Danio rerio: one gene and its partner. The protein of the gene in region 1 purifies or fractionates together with the protein of each later gene. This does not show direct contact. Links are inferred from orthologs where the notes say so. Each region holds a gene or a part of one and is shown in the gene's direction. Other genes may lie near its edges.

The links. The genes of interacting proteins can lie anywhere in the genome.
Region 2: the proteins of snx4 (region 1) and snx7 purify together in Homo sapiens (affinity purification with mass spectrometry; 3 studies listed by BioGRID and IntAct, counting the BioPlex papers as one, with this or other methods). This does not show direct contact. The link is inferred for Danio rerio from reciprocal best matches to the Homo sapiens genes SNX4 and SNX7.

The regions. Positions count from the first base shown.
Region 1 is NC_133184.1:40,310,871-40,314,395, forward strand, and holds part of snx4 (sorting nexin-4), read left to right. Parts: intron 1-1,828; coding exon 1,829-1,967; intron 1,968-2,056; coding exon 2,057-2,206; exon of another isoform or gene 2,207-2,536; coding exon of another isoform or gene 2,537-2,539; intron 2,540-3,525. UniProt on the Homo sapiens protein: Involved in the regulation of endocytosis and in several stages of intracellular trafficking. Plays a role in recycling endocytosed transferrin receptor and prevent its degradation.
Region 2 is NC_133199.1:34,405,991-34,409,515, reverse strand, and holds part of snx7 (sorting nexin-7), read left to right. Parts: intron 1-434; coding exon 435-626; intron 627-712; coding exon 713-823; intron 824-1,305; coding exon 1,306-1,470; intron 1,471-3,525. UniProt on the Homo sapiens protein: Involved in the regulation of endocytosis and in several stages of intracellular trafficking. Together with SNX4, involved in autophagosome assembly by regulating trafficking and recycling of phospholipid scramblase ATG9A.

The DNA.
Region 1 (3,525 bases):
AAATTTAGGGCTTAAAAAGTCCTAAATTCACTGAAAAATGGTGTTTTATGTCTTAAATACTTTCAAAAAGGGTGTTTATTTTCCTTGGTCCATGTAAAGCTTCATAATTGGTACAACCAACAGTCCATCTAATAAAAGTAAAATGTATTACTCTCTGTACCAATATGGTTAAATTGACTTCATTACATTCATTTGTTAAAGTTCTCCATGCATTTATGCAGAAATGTATGTTGTGATTAAAATAAGTTCATCATAGTTTTTAAAACTTACATTTTTTTAAAGAAAGGTTATGCTAATAAAATAAATATATGTATATAATTAGACTGCTTGTTTTGGCACACAATTTAAAATATATGGCTAAGAAATAACTGAAATTGAATTTAAATGGGGCAAGTAAAAAAAAATCCTTAAGCCTTTGCCCTGTAGAAGTCTGAAATTTCATTCATAATGGTCTTAAATAAAAAGGTCTTAAAGTCTTAATTTTGACTTTGTGAATCCTGCAAAAACCCTGAAAAAATTACTTTCAAGGGTCACAAAACCCTCCTGTTTCAGCAGGGTGTTTTCAGACTTCTGGTTTGGAAAAAGTCAGGAAAGTGGGAGTGTCCAGCTCTGTTTAGGGGGGAGTGTCGGAGGAGGGAAAGAGGGAAGGTGCATAAACATTAGCATAAAAATGGGGAGTGTCTGTTTGGGCTTGCACTGATTGCAAAACAAACACACAGACGCAGAGGAGAAAGACAGTGACTGTTTACATGGACATCAGCAATCAAATAATTTGACTAATTATTAAATGGTGGACTTTAACTGCTGTTTGGCTCTTTCATTCAGGAATTTCATTTATGCCCCTTGTGACAAATGAGATATTTGATTCGATGAACTGCTGTAAGCGTGTATTTTTAATTTAATGTTTGATACCCTCAGCATTTCTCTGTAATTTAGATGCACTCGGTAGGTAGCATCAAAAAGCCGTGTGTTATTCCTGTCACAAAATGTGACGAAAATCCTACACAAAGGTAATAGTTTGATTTCAGTGTTTACATGTTTACACTCGGAGAGCAGCATTTACAGCAGATCTTTCAGTCTATAGTATTGTAGTGATATTAACGTACTGTAAACTTAGTAACTTACTGAGAAATCATTTGACTAAGGTCTGTCTTTAAACACTGAAAGAGTACTGCTAACGATACGAACTAACTTTGCCATTTGAATAAACAAACAAAGACCACTGATCGCTTACTTACCAAATCTGTAGAGACAGGACAATCAACACCAACTGGGGCCGCGTCTTTATTAAAGGAGACAAGCTGCAAATCCGTATTTCAGCATTTCCAGATGAGAAAAGCTCTCGGGTAAAAAATGTTCCTTAGACATGTATTGTTGTCGCGTGCACTGTAATCCACACGTGAGTCCAGCTGCGCTCTCATAGAGGGAAAATGAAAACAAAAATCTTCCTTGCAGCAAATTATAAAAGCAACACTGACAACCCGTATCTCCAAACAATTCTTCTTCTCCCATTTGTTTTGGCAACACAACGTGGCGTCTCTGTGCTGTCTGAACACTGTACAGGTAAAAGCAGTCTTGGAAGTTACTATGCATATTAATAAACTTGCACCGCATACACAATAGAGCGCGCTGATTGGTTTGAACCAAGTCTTTCTCATGAATGAATGCAGCACACTCAGAGACGTCACAGACAGTCAGTCTACATGCTAGAATACATGCTAAGATCTTATGGCCGTGACGCAGCTTCAAAAATTTGTTTCAAACCGGAAGTACGAATTTGCTCGTAATAACGCAAAAACAACTGACTGATTTAATCTCTGTGTTTCAGACCGGTGGATGCTGCATCAGAAGGGACCAGTCCTGTCCCAGATTCTCTCTGGAGGCGTTACAGCGAGTTTGAGCTCCTTAGAAACTATTTGTTAGTCACTTATCCGTTTGTGGTGGTTCCACCTTTGCCTGAAAAACGGGTATGCAAACAAGATGCTTTGGCCTCTGCCGATTGTAAATGCGATTTGCATTCATATGCTGTAACTGTAACTCATACTTTGTGCAACAGGCGGAATTTGTTTGGCACAAGCTTTCGGCAGACAACATGGACCCTGACTTTGTGGAGAGGCGTCGAGTTGGACTAGAGAACTTCCTGCTGCGAGTGGCTTCACATCCAGTCCTGGCCAGGGACAATATCTTCTATTTGTTTCTCACTGAGGTAGAGATAACTCGCTTATACTGATGAACAAAAGGGTGTAGTCTTCTTGTATAAAGAATATACCAGTTCATTTAAAATGTCTTTAGTTTGTAGTCACTTTGCAGATGAAAATCCTGTCATCATTTACTCTCCCTTCACTTGTCACAAACCGGTTTGAGTTTTTTTCTTCTGTTGAACACAAAGGAAGATCTTTTGAAAAATGTTGGTAACCATTGAATCCCATAGTATTTATTAGCAAGTCAATGGTTTCTAACATTTTTCAAAATGTTTTATTTTGTTTAGCAAAAACAAGAAACGCAGAAAAGTTTGGAACCACTTGAGGGTGAGAAAATGGTGTGTACATTTTCATTTTTGGGGGAACTATCCCTTCAGTGAAGGGTGTATTTATTCTTTAAGTGTGAAATGTTGCAGTTAGAGCATGATAAAAAATCTTCAAATGTCCTCTCAATCCTACAGATGTTATGTTTAGTGTTTTAAGTATTCTGTGACCATCTGAAAATTGTATTATATCTTTTAAAAATGGTAAAATAGGACCTCTTTGTTTTATGGTTAAAGATCTGTAGATCTGTAATTTTTATTTCCATTATAGGTGAAATATAGTAGAATATAACTAGTTTATTTTTTTATTATTATTAAAATTAAATGACAGCCTAGTAGAATTAGAAATGTTCCATCACTGGGAAACATCCATACACACTCATTCACACACATACACTACGGACAATTTAGCTTACCCAATTCACCTGTACCACATGTCTTTGGACTGTGGGAGAAACCGGAGGAAACTCACCCCAACATGGGGAGAACATGCAAACTCCCCACAGAAAAGTCTACTGACCCAGCCAAGGTTCGAACCACCGACTTTCTTGCTGTGAGGCAAAAGAGCTATTCACTGCGCCACTGTGCAGCCGAATTTATGAATTAATAAAGATGATTTATTTCTTGATTACTCAACATAAATCGTTAAAAACTTTGGTGTTTGTAAAAAAAACTGTTTTTGAAAGTGTTTTGTGCTGCATTTACTCAAGCATGTAGCGAATGAGCATTGTTGTAAAATATTACATTTGGTCTTTTTGGTTCCTTTTTGTAATGTAAATATAAAAATGTTACTTATTCTTGTTATAATAAAGCTGAATTTTCAGCTTTACTTCAGTCTTCAGCGTCACACTGCTTCAGAAATCATTATGATATGCTGATTTAGTGTTTAAGAAACATCTCATATTATTTTGAAACACTGAAATTTTCTTCTTGCCATTTTGTGGAAACCTTGATTGCTACATGGTTTTCATCTTTGATGTAATAGTAGTAGTAAAACTTTA
Region 2 (3,525 bases), on another chromosome or scaffold:
ATGGGAATTAAGGAAATGGAGAGAGAGAGAGAGAGAGAGAGAGAGAGAGAGTTTGAGAGCAGTGCTAGAGGGCTGGTCTGCCTTAAATAAGTTTTAGGGAGTAGGTGATTGGTTAAGAAGACAAATTGAGGTGTGGTTCCGCTGCTGAACTTTTGTTAACTTAATGTTATGATGATAGATAAACCAAAATTACTTGTATTTAATTATTTATGCAAGAATCTACACTATGCAGTGTTATTTTATATATTATTATTATTATTATTAAATTTCTGCTCCTCATCTATTACTGTAAACATATTTTCCTGTAAGCCATATCATGTCCATTTGGCTGCAAAAAAAAAAAAAACTGTTTGTTTGATGTCAAAACACTGGCCCTGTTTAGTGTTCATGATCCTTCATGTTTGCTTACGTACATGTCTTGTGCTTTTGGGTAGGATACGACTATCACAGACGGGAGCTCTTTCAACGCCTCCATGCAGACCTCACCAGCTTCAATGATCAACCAGTACAAGTTTGAGGAAGAAGAGGAAGATGTTGGCACCAAAGATATTTTCGTCACAGTCGATAACCCTGAGAGTCACGTGACTGCCATTGAGACATACATCACCTACCGGGTCATGACCAAGGTACAGCAGATCTGAACACAGATTCACCAGGAGCGACTTCTGTGAATAATTCTCTCGCCTTTTTCCATCGTTCTCCTTCATGACAGACCACACGGAGCGAGTTTGACTCTAGTGAGTTTGAGGTGCGAAGACGATACCAGGACTTCCTGTGGTTAAAGGGACGCCTGGAAGAAGCTCATCCTACGCTCATTGTTCATGTGAGTTAAATATAAGTTAGAATTCAAGTGTATGGGAGTGTTTAAATGTAAACTTTTCTCTGAAATTTCAGTTTGTGATGACCAGGTTAAATTTAGGAATAGGACGATAACTGGTTTCAAGTTTTACCACGGTTTGGAAAAGTCATGGTCTTAAAACCACAAAAATTTAGTTATCCCGTTCTGTGTTATATTTAAGGTTTTTTCCTCATGTTGTGTAGATTATCTTTATCAGACCCTTTGATATTTACTTAACACTTAGTGAACTGTTTATTAGTAATAAATCAAAAATTTTGATTTCTGTCATGTGTACAATTTAGTGTTGTCAAAAGTATCAGGTTCAGTACAAATCGGTACTGATATTTTAAAAACGTCCATTTTCTGCTTACATTAGAGCAGTGGTTGTCAACCATGTTCCTGGAGGATGATGAGTAGTGCTTTTACTTGCGCATTTAAAACCCTAACGTGTGATTGTGTCCCATCAGCCTCTGCCAGAGAAGTTTGTGATGAAGGGAATGGTGGAGAGGTTTAATGAAGATTTCATAGAGACCAGAAGAAGGGCTCTGCACAGGTTTCTTAACAGAATAGCAGAACATCCCATTTTCTCCAGCACTGAAGACTTTAAGATCTTTCTCACAGCTGCATCTGAGGTAAGGCTTTTGTTTTTTCTTTTTATCCATTCATCTCTCCCTCCGTCCATCCGCCCACCCGTCTGTCTATCTGTCTATCTATCAGTCTATCCATCCATCCATCCATCCATCCATCCATCCATCCATCCATCCATCCATCCATCCATCCATCCATCCATCCATCCATCCATCCATCTATCTATCTATCTATCCGTGTCTCCGTCCATCCATCCATCTGTCTGTCTGTCTTTGTCTGGCTATTCGTCTATCCGTCTCTCCGTCTATCCATCCGTCTCTGTCTATTTGTCTATCTATAACTATTCATCTATCCATCTCTCCATCCATCCATCCATCCATCCGTCTGTCTGTCCCTCTATCTGTCTGTCCGTCTATCTGTCCGTCTATCCATCTTTCTATATCTATCCGTCTCTCCGTCCATCTATCTATCTATCTATCCATCCATCCGTCTCTGTCTATTCGTCTATCTATAACTATTTATCTATCTATCTATCTATCTATCTATCTATCTATCTATCTATCTATCTATCTATCTATCTATCTATCTATCTATCTATCTATCTATCTATCCGTGTCTCCGTCCATCCATCCATCTGTCTGTCTGTCTTTGTCTGGCTATTCGTCTATCCGTCTCTCCGTCTATCCATCCGTCTCTGTCTATTCGTCTATCTATAACTATTCATCTATCCATCCATCCATCCATCCATCCATCCATCTGTCCCTCTATCTGTCTGTCCGTCTATCTGTCCGTCTATCCATCTTTCTATATCTATCCGTCTCTCCGTCCATCTATCTATCTATCCATCCATCCGTCTCTGTCTATTCGTCTATCTATAACTATTTATCTATCCATCTCTCCGTCCATCCATCCATCCGTCTGTCTGTCCCTCTATCTGTCTGTCCGTCTGTCTGTCAGTCTATCCATCTGTTTATATCTATCCATCTCTCCGTCCATTCATCTATCCATCCATCCGTCCACCTGTCTGTCTATCCGTCCATCCATCTATCAGTCTATGTATATCTATTCATCTATCCATCCGCCCATCCAACCGTCAACTAGTAACTACTCACTGGTCATTAAAACAGTCAACGCTTCTAAGATACTGATGTCTATATTTTTATTTATTATAAACACAGTTAAAACTGAAGGCAAACAAACCAATCAGTCAGTTTCACACACAACATAATCAAAGGACAACACATAAACAAAAGAATATACAAGCAATAATTTCTTTACTGTGTTAGCCTGAAAACCAGCACAGAGCTCGAAATTGTGACCGTTTTGTTATATATGCACCTGAAATTTGATCTATGCAACCTCATAAAATTGTTGCTGTGCGACCTGTTTTCACTGCTAAATGTTGACCACATGCGTGTGTTTAGAAGAAATGCATGCAGAATGCATTTTTGCACCAAAAAAAGGCAAACGCAGTGTTCAGGAATGGTTTAAAAGTTGACATGTCTATTTGCTGCAGTAAACCAATCCCTCAATGCTTGCCCCGCTTTCAAGCTTTTCCTATTGGCCCACTGCTATAGAACAGTATGCGAACGGATCGGTTAATGCCAGCTGTTAATCACTCAGTTTAGATGATAGAGAGCTACAGCCGCGAAAATGTAAAGGTCTTGATAATAGAGAATGAAAATAACATTTTCAGATTTTTTTTAGAAACCACTAATAAGATGTGCCATTATTGTAACTTGTTATCATGTGATGAACAATTCACCATTTACACTTTTCGAAGAATGGATAAAAGACTTCCAGTGGGTTAATGTCTGCTATGAAAATGACTAAAACATTCACCGTAAAGCCGGTGTGATGGAGTTTGCAGGTTTTAGTGTTTGCCACATCTACACATTTTAAGCTACGAGATGTTTTAACATTAACGTTAATCCTTCATTTAATCGTCACGATGCTGTCAGTCATGCGTTCACCGTTGCAAAAGAGCATGCATTCACTGAGATTAAACAAATATTGCAGCTCATGAAAAGACTGTTATTACTAATAAGATGACGTATGCAAACGATAAGTTATATGTGTCAATATCATCTGTGCAATGT